Linked DNA regions of Stegostoma tigrinum. The protein of the gene in region 2 interacts with the protein of the main gene of each other region in a biochemical or structural test. Links are inferred from orthologs where the notes say so. Each region holds a gene or a part of one and is shown on either strand. Other genes may lie near its edges. The genes, in order: pax5 and transducin-like enhancer protein 4.

Region 1 (7,201 bases), about 51 Mb from region 2:
CAGAAAGGCAACTAATTAACAAAGGCAGCATTTTAAAACAGGCCAGGCCATACCGAACAAGCGTGGCTCGCACGTGCTGATACAAAGGATTTCGACCCTGTCATCTGTCAGCTCGGATTTGTAGGTAAACAATGATATAGATTATTTCACGGGTCACAGACAGGAAAAGCAGTTAATGTCCCAGAATGGCACAAATTCATTCTGGTGTCAAGCTCGGCAACTGGAGCCCTTTATGATCAATAACTGGGCAAGATTCTTTCGGAAGCTGAACTGGGGAAGGGCGGAGGGGTCAGTCAATCTGTCAGGGACTGAAGGGCACATGAACCTACTCTTTTTTTGCAGTGATTGCTCGTGAACTATGTGATAGATTTCAAATTCGTACGCCGAAAAACACTTGAGATTAAATGCGGCCTGCTTTTCTTTGAGTAAACCTGTTCAAGGTCCTACTCGTTTTCTTGTTTTTTTTAGTACATTGCCATTGAGAGGAAGAGCAAAAGCGCCTTGGTGATAGAGCGCCCGGTAGAGCAGCCGGAGTGCATACTACTGTTATCCTAAATAGAAAAAAAAATGATAAAACTGCGACCGATAAACGCCAGGGCTTACGGGGCTGTGTCCTTATTGGCCTTTCTACCTTTGGAAGCTCGGGATTGTGTTTCATTGAATAACTTCTTCCTTGCAAAATAAACCATTATCTATAACCGGATTTAATGTTTTAAAAGAGCAGTGGGGGTTGGGAGGTGCTGAGTGGAGACCAGGCAATGCTAAACAAGTCCACCGATCTGAACCATCACATCAGAAGCCACAGACTGGTTTAATTGGTATTGGCGAACAAACTGCTGAGCGGACCTGTTGAATTAATTTTCAAATAAGGAAAATAACAGCGGTTTGAAATTCGCAGAAAATCACATGGCGTTTCACACGCCGAGATATCGGCCACCAGCCCCGTTCCCTCTACAACCTGTTCCCCCATTGCAGTTCTCAGAAGCAAGATCTCAGCGCCCGGCTCCACCATGTTCGGTGTGTTCGCGGCCTATCACTTTAAAAGTAAAGCAAATCAAAAGGAGATGTTGTTTGTGACCAAATGCTACAAAGTTATTATTTTAAGACATACAGACCCATACACATTTCACACTGGAGAAGATACTAGTTTCACATTTGCAGACTTAATTCCCAGTCCCTAGACTGAATCCGGACACCGGGTTTAAATCGACTTTGAAACTGTCCTCGTCAATTCAATTTTGCCTTACATTTTAGTCTATAAAGTGAACGAGCAAAATCGTGTGGATTTATCGGAATTGATGGGCCCTGTGTTGAGAAACTGATTGGAGAAAGTTGCCTTGATGGTTCAGCGGGCGTCGTGGAGAAAGTTACCGGCGAACCCAAATCAGACAGATTTCATTACAGTAAAACCAACACTCCCTTCCCCCACCCTCCCACCCAAACCTCATTTTACTAAGCTATATTTGCAAAGAAATGTGTGTAAAGCTGGTTTCAATTTGCCGATGAAACGTTCTATGCAATTGCTTTATTTCGGCCAAAGAGCATGTGTTGGACCCGTGACAACCCAAAAGAGACCTTTTTTTAACCTATTTTTAAACAACTTCTCTGGGTTTCTTCTTGCTACGCCAAGTTTCACCGGCAAGTTTTATATCAATGTTTATCAACAAACCGAACAGGGCGAGTCAATTTCAGTTCTCCATAGAGGCCTCCTATATTCTGATTTCACATGTGGAGTTCATGTTTAAGCTGTAGCGGTAGACGGTTATTTCAAAAGTATCCGGGACAAGGGTTGGGGGAGGATTTTTTTTAATCAACAAGTCAACTTCTATTTTCTATTAATCTCCGAAACTGAACGTCCGGTATCGCCCGCACCCGCAGCGCGTCTACTGAACAGTCGAGACACTTAATTTTGAAAAATACAATCGATATGAATTGAGCAAAGAAAAGGAGGACGTGGCAACCAGCTCAGGCAGTTGCACGCACTTTAGCTATTTTAATGTTGAAAAACAGCAAAATAAGATCTACAAATAACATCCCCCCCCCCCCCCCCATCGGCGCGCGCGCGCGCGCGCACACACACACACACACACAAGCAGCGCCAATGTCCCTCTCGCACATGAAAACAGAGGTTTGCGGTGAACTGCGTGTCTTCTTTTTAGTGCTTTTTCCTCTCAGTACATTCAGCTGTAGACCCGGTTTCAGTAGGTTTGCGTCGTGCGTACTGCTGGCAACCGCCACGTTACAAATATTCAATGGAAACCAAACTACTCTTTGATCTCAAACATGAACCAAAAGTATTGCTTTAAATGTTGTAACTGCTGACTGCGCAGCGATCACTCATTATCTTTCGAGATCAGCGAAACCGCGGGCGGGTTTGTATCCCAGTTTGCCACAAAGGATGAAAAGGCCACCAAATTCAGCTGTGAAGGGGAAACCACTCTCAAATCAGCATCAAACCAGATGATCAACCACCGACCTGCTCAATTAAGACAGGCAATGCATGCACAGATATTCGCACCCAGAGATACATTTCCTCTTTGTTTACGTTCAGTGTTCACTTTAAGTTGTCAAAATTCACTTTAAATATTCCCCATGATTTGAACGACAATTCACCATCAATTGACTATTTCAAATTCTTTAACTTTTAAACAAGTGTTTAAACACTTCATATAGTTTTACACGGATATTGTTTAATTGTAAACTAAACGCGAAGCTGGTAGGCAGTCATTTCTTGCTTTTACGTCCTATTTCACAGAAAGATTTTTTTTAAAAAAATGAACCTACCTGATCGGACACTCCTGAGTGCGTTGCTATTTTTTTCCATGCCGGTTCTGGGATTTCGAGTCCTTTGTGAAAAGATTGGAAGAAAAGTTGCCCCGTTTCGGTATGTGTGCGTGTTTTGTCGGCTCCGAATAATTTGACTCTTCCGCTACCCCGTCGCGTCTTTGGTGCTGCCCATTGATCCGAAACTAAACGTTTTAGGTGGAGAAAAGGCTCTGAACAAACCGTGAAATGATTAAGGAACTAAAAGAGCTCGCTACATGTGAGATCATGTCCTGTTCGCCTTTAGAGGGAGAAAAAAAATCGCAAAGTCCCTCGACACAATCGAAAAGAAAGTAAAACTCTTACATCTGCCGGACGAATCACTCCCACCTATGGGGTTCCTGGTAACTTTGACGTTGTCTCTCTCACTCTCTCGCCTCCTATCTCCTGGTTTCGGCCCGCGAATCAGTCCGATTGTAATGGCCGGCATCTGCAAATATTTTCCACAGTTTGAGGATTGGGATTGTGAAATGCTACATCACAAACCGACCAAAGCATTGCTCTAACATTCTGAATAATCAAAAGCTGTTTTTTCCCATCATTTCAATCATTGTCTACCGCTACAGCTCCCCCCCCCCAACCACCCCCCACATTGTCCTTTAATTTGCCTCGAGAAACCAAATACTTGCTACCAAATCTCAGGAGCAATAATGCAAATAAATCCGTAGCCCTCCTTTGAAACCCTGTCGGCTCCGTGCACCCACTTGCCTGATTTCGGTTTATTCCTTAAATATAAACGCAGAGGTTGTTTACAAATTGTATCGAATTGATTCTCTTTTCATAGGACTTGGGGGTGGGCAAAGATAATGAACTGAATGCCCTTCCCCGCCCTTTGTTTCAGACCGGATACTTTCTTGATATATTAAAACAAGATTTTGCTTCTGAACGATTACTACACTTACAGATAGGGGGAAAAACAATTTGCCGCGCTTCTATCTTCAGCCCTTTCTGAAATGGTATCAAATTTTGCGGTACGGAGAATAGTAGTAACTGAGACAGGTAATCACACTTGCACCACTAATGTACGGTTCCCACCGCATTTCAACATTAGACAGTGATCTCCGTGTAACTTTATCGCCTTTTGTGTCACAACCTGGGTTTATTTAGGGAGCGGGGGTGGTGAATGTTTACATCGTTTTGCAGAAGCGCAAATGGTACTGATTTCAGTCAAATTAAAACTCAAGTGAGTGGAACCCGGGTCAGTTCGACAGTGCTCGCAACTTTCCCGTGTTCTCTAATATATTTCTCTATTTAACCAATGACACACCGCAAAAGCAAACTTACACGTAAATTACCGAGATAACATATTTTTGCTAGATATAACATCATGAGAAACCTCAAAGTAAATGTTAAAGGATAAAAATACCAACGCTTCTCAATTCATATTTCTCTGACCTGCTGTACTCACATATTTTTGGTGTATGTTAAAAAGGGCCAGCCAACCTGCCAAAAATGTCTATGAACAAAAATGCATTTCCTTTTTATATTAAAGCCTACAATCCTAAAGTACTGTAGTTCAGAACACGGAATTTTTTTATGGAAACATTTCTCCCAAACTCTACTCCTGAGTCTGTCGGTCTATAAAGCGCGTACGGTTTACAGGTAAAATCCAAAGGATGCTAAAATACTCGTTCTGAACTAGCCAGGCTCAAGAGCAAACTCTATAGGGACGACCTTGTCTTTGTTCTTTTCCAAAAGGCTTCAGGTGATACGTCTTAATCGTTTATTTAAACGTCAGAGCTCATCAATGAACTAAAACAGGTGTGCTAAAACAAGATCGCCACTAAAATCTAAACCATATTGGTTTAATTTAAATGAAATGATTGCACTCTGCATCAAACAATCGAAAATATTTTTTCAGCAATTGACACAGAATCGCGGCGTTTGAAAGTTTCTGGGCCAGTTAGATATCGACTGCAAAACATATGCAACAGAACGAACCAAGCTCTCAGATTTTGGCCAGCGCTTGGTTTAAAACAATCTAACCAGGGAATGTTGTCAAATTAGAAACTTTTATGAAATTTACAATGTTGACAGTGGAAAATGATCCTTTCTAAAATATTTAAAAGGAGATACGTGACCTTTTATCTTCAGGTCATCCACCTTTAATCATTTTATTAAAACCTTAAAACCAACACAACTGCTGAAGATTCTCTTGCTGATAAGTGGAAGGGCAATTTAATGAAGGGTCAAAATAATACAAGTTCACTTACAAGTTGTATTGTAACCTTCCAAGCTAACTCCGAACTTAAGAAAGAAATTATCATGCCCGCTGTCATCTTAATTATGTATCAATTCTATTTCCCACCCTCTAACCCCATCTGTTTAACATCCTCACTGGTCTCGAACGGGGTCTAGATTCCTGGGTTTGGTCAAGATCATTAAACATGGAAATCCACTGAACTGAGTAAAACACGTCAAACATATTTGCACGCATAATTCATCCCAAAAACAGTTGAAACTTGCGTTTTACCAAGTCACTAAATCTCATGATCCTTGCAGATATCTAGTATTTTGAAATGGTGTGCGAGTATAACGCTATAAACTGTGTCCACCTACTGACACAAGTATTGAAAACTTATAACTGATTAATAAGTATCTGAAATATGATCGATAGTGAGTTGTACACACTACATTAAAATGTGTTACGTTTCGTTTCCTCGCTGATATTAGCCTACTGTAATTAGATGAACCTACTAACATCACTGCTTCTGACTATCCCTTTACACGTAATTGTACGAAGCGGGACAAAATGGTTACCACATTTTATTGTCTCTAGAATTAACCTATACAATTAACATTTATCAGTATATCAACGAAACTGATGTCAATCTCAATCTGACGTATCTATTTTTGTTTTAATCCAGGTGCTCTTCTCCAGAGCACATCGTCTTCAGCCTTCGTAGCCTCAAATGCTTATTCAAAACTTTAAACAGGCTTCACTGAAAACAATGGCCCTGCCAACAACGTGGCTAGATTAGATCTCTTTTTCACAAGTGGATATATGATAATTTATCATTTTCAATTCGTTCTTTCAATTTGTGTAGCCGTCGGTATTAATTCAGATTTTTCTCTCCAGCCGTGTGAGTTTGGCTGTCAGTTTCCTCGTCATACGTCAGTTAACAACGCAGGGATACAGGAATACATTTTTATTATTTTTCAAAATGTATCTTGTGTTCACGTTTCGCCCGCTGCGCCGAAGATAAAACTAAAAGCCCAATGGCAGTCTAAGTGTCACCAAATTTCACTTTTACCTGATGGAGTTCGTTAATCCAAATGCTGATGATTCAACAGTCTCGTTGAGAAATTTGGTAAAAGGCAAGCGGGACTAAGAAGTGTCAGGATTGTTGGTCTGGAGCCGTGGGAGCAACTGATGGGAAAATGTGGTCGAGTTGTGTAAGTCTGTGAAGTCCTAAATTCAAGGGTTGACAACCGATGTTGTTCACTTGAAATGTAACAGTTCAATTTGATCGGAATTCGCATCTCTCACACAAATCCTTTTACAAGTCTACACTGATCACAAGATTACTCCACTAGCTTTAGAAGAAAGTTTCGGAGAAAATTCCAAATCTTAAAAAAAAATCTGGTACAGTGATCCAGTTGGTAAATATGACATTTGATCTGCGACAGTATTTCCGTGGAGATTTTTCTTGACGGGGGTGGGGTCTAGGAACTGAACCAGAGGTGATAATCGAAACCGAAATATATAGATTTACATCACTCTTGAAAAGCAAACTAATGAATGACAGTCACCTGGAGAGCATAGTTGGAATAATCTTTCGCACCGATTCAAAAAACAGCAAGATAAACAGGGCAGTCATATTCTTAATAGTTACCTTCTCAGTTTGTTTTAATTCTGCACCTTATATTTAGGCACTGGGAAATCTTCCCTTTACACTGTCGGCAAGTATTTCTAGATATTTCCAGGCCTTTCAGTTTCATAACTCTAGCTCTTAATAAAATATATCAACAAATATCAATAAAATCACACAAAGTCTGAGTTTTATTTTATCCAAATTAAATACACAATGTGCAAAAATGTTAAAATTCAATTTACTACAGGTGATCTATACAAGAGTTTTAACCTCACTTACTATTTCAGTATGATCGTATTTCAACATTAAACAATGTTTCATTGTTCTTTAGTCATAAGAATCAGTGTCTCTAGGTGTGAGGCTGGAAAGGCACAGCAGGTCAGACAGCATCCAAGGAGCAGTAACCTTTCTGGAGGACACCCTTTATCAGGGCTAGGGAGGGGGAGGGAAGCACAAAAGTAAATATGCGGAGGCAGTGGGGCTAAGGAAAGGGTAAGAGATGGTGATTGGTGGTTGCAGGTCAGGGGTTATTGTGATCGTTCCTCCTGGGATGGGTGGAGTGC
Region 2 (7,218 bases):
ATGGGTTGTACTATCTGAAATTCTGAATAGTTAGGTACCATTGTTGAGATAGGTTTAAAATAGCCAGTATCAACAGAAAAGTCCTGAACTGGAAGCTTCAGATACCATCACAATCTTACAAATTTCAGCCACCATGTTTGCATTTTAAACCTCCTGACTCTCAAATGACAAAGAAAAAAATGTTGGTTTGATAATAGTTTGGATGTTAGAAGTTATTTTCATGCTGAAGACATTGTTGAAATGTGATTCTCACAGCTGTTCAAAACACAATACATACACGTCACGTGGAATAAACTTCAGCAACAAGATGTGTCCCACTATCATGATTTTGGTTTATTAAACAATACAGCAGGTAGTATGTAATGTACATCTTCCTTAAGGAGTTCAATAATCCTGTAAATTTCTGCCATTTTCAGCAAAGAACTCTCAATTTCTCCTCTTCAAAATCTTATGACACACTTGCGTAAGTCTATTTCAATGCCCAATATCACATGTTCAAGTAACAAACATATCCCCCAAATATTTATCGAAAATGAAAGATTCTTACCTGTTTGTGCATTTCTATATTCAGACCATAAGACATTTCATAATACTGTGAAAAGAACATAAGATATTGTTCGTAAAGCCATCTTGATTTTTGCATTCACAGTCACAAAAACTGAAAAATATGGTGAATTAGCAACATCTGCCATTATTTTAAAAAGAGTCATGTTTAAACTTACCATGACATAATGGCGTTGCATTTCAGTCTTTTCACTGGCCAGCTTTTCACATTCCAATTTCAAACTGTTTAAATAAAGAAAAATTGTTCAAGACGCTATCTGGACATTTCATAGACTGCGCTGCAGGCTACTCTGCGTAAACGATCTCACCCGGATGATTAGAAGTGTGGGCTTACCAAGTCAGGGTGCACTTAATTAGTACTGTACCATGTTTTGTTGTTCTAGAAATGATTTATGACGCCAACTCTGAGTACATGACAAATGTGACAGTATGTATTCTAAGAGTGATTTTAATAAGTACAAGTAGAATCCCAAACCTGACACATGCAAACATTGACAAATGCGTCAACGTTATTTCTTTCAATAGACTCAATTCATTAGAACCGAAAAGGAAACCATTATTTAACGATTAAAAATACTAACTCAATTGGTACAAAAATACAGGAGTTCTGAAGAAAGCAATACTTGGTCCACGACTAACAAAGCCAAATTGTGTAATTTATAAAGTTTAGACTCGCTGCAAAAACAAAAGCAAAACAGGATCCCAACATTTGAAAAGACAAAACGCGCCGTACCTCAAAAAGTATGTAAATACAACTATTGAAAAGCGATTTCAAAAAAAGTGATGCAGCATATTTTTCAAACAAAAATGAATCGAAGTTGCAGATCTGCCGGGCTGTACATAACTTTTTTTTTAATGCAGCTTTGGGGGCGTTCCAGTCATAAAAGATGTGATTGTTTCACACTTTGTAGCCTCTACATGTCAGCCGAAAGAAGTGCAATCTCTCAGAGAATATTGCTCCTTCACCGTCACATCACATGAAAGAGAAAATGTGAACGCGAATGAAAGGAAATCAGAACACTATGATTTAAAAATAATATCGAAACGTTGAGTGCATTGAGGACAGCGATAACCCGAGTCCGGAGTCCCTCACAACCGTTCCGATCACTTGTTTTTAAAACATTTCGGAAGAAATTCAACAGAATGTAACGACTCAGTTGAAGCAAGTAACCTTAGTACCCCATTGTATTGATGTTACAAATCTGTCTTCACTGCCAACACGACAAAGAGTGCGAGCTTTGCACTCGTACACCATCCAAACAGTAGTAACCGAGAGAACATTTCCCTTCAGACTGTTAAATAGGAGGAAATAGAAGCTTACATGCAAAACACCAAGTGTGGACAATATATACCATAGCCCCATCTCTGCGAAAAGAAGACGGCAAGAAAAGGACGTTTTAAATATCCTCACCCAATTTGTAGAATTGCACTTAGCTTGTACTTCCAGAAACATCAACGTAGCCAGGTTTTCTTTACATAAAAAGCTATTCTATCTACCTGTGATACTGCGCCTGCAAAAACTGAAATTCTTCTTTGATGCGATCACACGATTCGGAGATGGTGAATTTAAAGGGCTGTGCGGGTTGATGAGGCGCCTAGAAATAGAGAGAAAAAAAGCATCAGTACCGAGACAAGTCGTCCGCCAATCCCATCAATTTGCTATTCCTTCACGTTATTGACAAAGCGAACGGAAACACTGCACCTTGCACGTCTCCAAATATTTACTGAAAGACTATAATTAAAGGCGTGTTGAGAGAAAGCTAAAGCTCGCGTTGTGATTGTCCGTGTGAGATGTTTGGAGAAGAGGAGGGAGATAAAATAAAACATACAAAAACACAACACACAAATACAACACACGAACACACTCACAGGATGTCTGGCTTGAGGATACATCTCGCTGGGATTTTTGTACCAAAAGCCTTCTCGGTCGATCAGGTCAGTATTAGTGTCATTTAAGTTCCTTAATTTAAAAAGTCACCAAGTTGTAGGCGATCCGGTGGAAAGCAATGATCTGCCCCTCTCTTTAAATCTCTCCGATCCCCCCAGAAAGCGAATGAAACAAACAGAAAAAAAGTGGAGCATCGGGATGAAGACTGCAGATTCTCCGGGAGATTTCCTCCGATCCGGGATCCTGCTATGCCGGGCAGCGACTCGAAGCTGCCTCACAGCATCTGTGAGTCCAGACTGGCCGTGGGAGAGGGACAAGGAGGCTGGGCTGCAGGCGGAGTGGCCGCAGCGGCGGCGGCAGCAACAGCAGCAGCTTCGTCCCTGCCCTTCATCCGATAACAGACCGAAGTAATGACTCGTGTTTACCAAATTTAGAAACGCCGTGTCATTAACATTCTTACAGATTCACACCCCGGTCAACTTCACTTCAGCGAGGGAAAGAGGAGGTACAGGGGATGAGATACTTCACCCGGTGCCGAGCGGAGCAGAGCGGGGCTAGGGGCAGGGCGCGGTGTACAGATGGACCCTGGGATATGTAGTCCATTCGTCCGTTGCTCCGAGCTGCAGACTACGGACTACACGCGCCGTTCTAACTACAATGCCCATTAGGCTGCGCGGCGCAAACACAGCCCCGACCGCTGCCGTTTTGATCTGCGGCCCAATGGCGAGCGGCGCCTCTCTTTCCATCACTCATCCCGTTGCGCGTCTGTTTCTACGCATCCGCCAATCGCCGAGCAGAAGCATGTTGGCCACGCCCTCTCGTTCTCCAGTGCTGGCCAATAACGAACGGTCCTGGTTGTTGTTCCCCACGTGGGGGGGTGACGAAGGGCTAGTGAATGGACCAATGAGAGTGAGTAAAAAGTGCACGGCTGACGCCTGGCGGCGCAGAGCGCGTTGCCTTTCGCTGGGTGCTCAGGCTCTTTTTTAACCCTCCAGCGAAAGCGGAAAGTTGGGAAAAAAAGAGGAAACATTTGTTCATCTGTCAATCAAAGTAACGTGGGCTCTGCCGGCGTTAGGTGAAATGAGAGTGTTTTCCTCTCATGCTTTATTCCATCCGAACGCTGTCTGCAGTGTTGGTTAATTAGGGTCGAATGTCTCTTTGCAAAATACTCGAGCAATCTGTCATTACAGAGAGGGTTGGGGATCCCCAAGGCTCCGTAAAGGTGAGCAAGGATATGGAGTCGGGAGGTGTGGAGGAGCACTTGGCTTGCACCTCCAGAATTTGACATGTTTTAACTTTGGATAACAAAACCCAATTCAAAAGCAAGCATGTCGAAAATTATGCCTCACCACATTAACGCTTTCACTCCTTCCTCAGGAAAACAGTGTTTTCTTTTTATTGATTAATTTTCCCCCAGAGCGATTCTGGAAGGAACATAGATGATACCCAAAAGATAATTTCAGTTTTATTTTTGGCTACTTTCTGTATAGAAGCGCTCGCGACTGCTGTGATGCTAATATTTCTTTGGAAGGCAGAAACGGAGACATAAACTTGTAGCGATTCGATCCATCACTATGGCCGACATTCAAAACACAACTAGAACAAATAAGTAATATGTGACCACTGTACAAGACGCTGGCTAAATCGTTGCCTTAGATCTGAATTTTAATTAAAAGGGGCGCGAATATAATGTCATTGAAATAATATCTTTTACAGCTAATTCAGTTTTCCTCCCATTAGACCGCTCTGGTATAGTCCAAAAATTGATTTGGTGGCAAGATTGGGAGCAGCGGAGACGGCCGATGGAGTGGTGTTCTCGTCATTTGTACAGTTTCTATTGTAACGCTGTTTTCCTTCCGGCAAAAGATTTCAAAACGTAATAGCCTTCCCTTGATAACAAAGTGCTTCTGTTTTATGTTGTGAGATAGTGTTTCCTTTTGTTCTTGCCATATTCTGTTTACATTCTTATCAGCCCATCTTTTGATTAAATGATTCTGGTAGGAGTTTCAGTTTGAAAACAAAGTGTAGTTGTGTTTGTGTCAATTTTCAGTTGTTTGATTTACATATTTCTGGCAACATTGTAAGTGGAATAAATGCTCCATAATACTCTTGAAACTTAACTGGCCCACGTTCCAAACAGGAAATGTGACACATATTTTAAGGTGTCTTCTGAATGAATGACATAGAAGACACATCATTAAGAGAGTTGTATAAGATTTGGCATTTAATTGGGAGCAGTAAGTACTTAGAAGTGACTAAAGCACAACGATCGTTATCACAGGCAAGTTTTACACCGACTAAGCAGTTGGTTTCAATGTAGGCTATCCAGAGTATTCTAAAATTGGTTTGTTAAAGCGATTGAGTTTTCCACTCCCTTGTCATTATGTAACCAGCAAGGCATTAATTATTGAGGACATTAAGATTTATGAAGAACTTTCACAATAAAGAAAGACATTAACTGAAATCTCAAAATCTGCCCACCCCTTCCGGGTTTTCTAATTGCTAAAAGGTGTATATCTCGCCCGCAACTTGTGTCTATTTCATTCAAACTTGTAATTCTTCATTATAAACTGTGACTACAAGACAGAAGAAATTTATCACCGCTGTTTAAAACAGTAATTAAAACTGTACCTTTCAAATAGCTGTAGGCATTATTCACAATGAGTTCAGAGTTAATGTATTGGGGTCTTTATTAATGTATTGGGGTCTTTATTTTTGCATTGGATATATCTCAATTCTAATCACTAGTATTTGGATTCTATTAGAAATCAGTTGTTAATATCCCCATTTACCGGCGGAAAATGGTTCAAAATGAGCCTCTTATTTTCGTCCAGTGGTCTAAAGACGGCAAAATAGCGTTTGACAAGATTGTCTAAAACAGGCGTGAGGATCCTTGCATATGCAAATAAAGAGGCAAATACCAAATTTAAATCAGCACGGAGATATTGAATAACGGTGACACTGGTACCCTTCAGGCTTTTCAGGTCGCCGAGGCGGCCACTAACAAAAGGTAAGATGTTGCTTTCTACTTCACATAGAACTACGAGAAGCGCGACTGTCCCTGTCATGGTGCATGCTGCCTTTGCATGGATAATTCTGGAGTCGATTACGGATCCTGGAGAATTTCAACCCAATTGAATATCCTTGTAAGATGAATTTAGATTATAGGATCAACTGTGTTTGGAAGCATGATGAATAATGTAACATTAAGTTTAGATAGTCAGATATGAATTAGCTTTCCGGATTCTCTTATTCTTAGTAACAAGATTGAAAATGAAATACATTTTAAAATCAATGGTTTCTGCAGTTCGTGTTGAGGTAACTGCGAAAAATTGTGCGGGGGTTGTTGCGAAAATTCGTTAAGACGAGAAACGCAAGGTGTACGGGTAGTGAGTTAACAGTTCGTTTCAAAATAGAAAGGTAAATAAGCCAAAGTGTGAAAGGGTGACATTGAGCCAGAAATAGAAAAGGAGTGAAGTTGTGGTCCAAGAACCTCTCTGTTCTGCGATATTTCTGAAGATTTATTATGGCCTCGACCTTTCTAATTTTTGTTTCCTTGGGTATTCCAAAATTCAACATTAGTATCAGGTACAAACATATTCTTCCATCTGTAGATTCCACTTTTGAATGTAACCTGCAGAGATGGGGAGGACATTTATATTCTCCAAGAGCTGTAAGGCTCCTAAAAGTATTTCTTTTGTTTAGCCGAGCCTGAAGTAAAAGCCCCACTGCTCACCATTGTTTAACATTAAGAACCAATATTCTGATGCACCAAGAACAGACATTGAGAAGTTCACCCTAAGTATTAATTTTGGAAAGGACGCCAGGTTGAAATAGAAGTAAAAAATTATTTATTGGTCCAAAAAATTTTAGGGTTGGGGAATTAAGATGCTGTTTAGTTGAAATGAAGAGAGTTTGAACTGGAAGGTGAGCACGAGGCTTAGTGATCTTGTACAAGCAGAGAAGTTGGAAGTGGAGTTGAAGTGGACAGATAGATTGAGAAGGTCATTTTTGAGGGAGCAAGTCAGTAAAGTTGGCAGAAAATGAGGTCAAAGAAGTTGAGTGTGTGGATGTTCAAACAGGTCTGTACTTTGAATAACCCAACACATGGAAACTCCAAGATAACCAAGTGTGAAGCTGGATGAACACAGAAGGCCAAGCAGCATCTCAGGAGCACAAAAGCTGATGTTTCAGGCCTATGGAAACTCCAAATGTTTGAAGGCTTCACCTCCAGCCCAGTTCATGTGCTGCAGACCTTGTCAGAAAGAACAAACTCTAAGATTCTCTGCACTCACCAAATAAAGCCCAGATTCTGTTAGAATATTAGAGATAACACAGTGTGGAGCTGGAGGAGCATAGCATGGTAGGCAGCATCAAGGTCCCGACATGAAACTTCAACTTTCCTGCACCTCTGTTGCTGCATGGCCTGCTGTGCTCCTCCAGCTCCACACTGTGTAATCTCTGACTCCAGCATCAGTGGTTTTTACTATCTGTATCAGAATAGTCGCCTATTTTTGGGTTCTTCTACGGCAGCTCAGTTGGGCAAGGATGTGCTGGAATAACCAAATATGATTTGGCTTCTAACTTTCCCATACATTCAATCTTAAAGCACATGAGGCTATTCATCCCGTCATTCATGAGTTGACTCTTTGGATAGGCACTATGAATACTTACGTTTGCCTGCTCTTTGCCCTTAATTAACTACCTCCTTTCAAGTACTTACAAAATTCCTTCTGAAACGTACTGTTGAATAATCTTCCACCAGC

The links.
Region 1: the proteins of transducin-like enhancer protein 4 (region 2) and pax5 form a complex in vitro, tested with the Homo sapiens proteins (2 studies listed by BioGRID). The link is inferred for Stegostoma tigrinum from reciprocal best matches to the Homo sapiens genes TLE4 and PAX5.

The regions. Positions count from the first base shown.
Region 1 is NC_081356.1:12,203,337-12,210,537, forward strand, and holds the start of pax5 (paired box protein Pax-5), read right to left. Parts: upstream 3,176-7,201; 5' UTR 3,130-3,175; intron 2,975-3,129; exon of another isoform or gene 2,970-2,974; 5' UTR 2,825-2,969; coding exon 2,785-2,824; intron 1-2,784. UniProt on the Homo sapiens protein: Transcription factor that plays an essential role in commitment of lymphoid progenitors to the B-lymphocyte lineage. Fulfills a dual role by repressing B-lineage inappropriate genes and simultaneously activating B-lineage-specific genes.
Region 2 is NC_081356.1:63,210,330-63,217,547, forward strand, and holds the start of transducin-like enhancer protein 4, read right to left. Parts: upstream 3,005-7,218; 5' UTR 2,458-3,004; coding exon 2,434-2,457; intron 2,160-2,433; coding exon 2,062-2,159; intron 787-2,061; coding exon 723-786; intron 593-722; coding exon 548-592; intron 1-547. UniProt on the Homo sapiens protein: Transcriptional corepressor that binds to a number of transcription factors. Inhibits the transcriptional activation mediated by PAX5, and by CTNNB1 and TCF family members in Wnt signaling.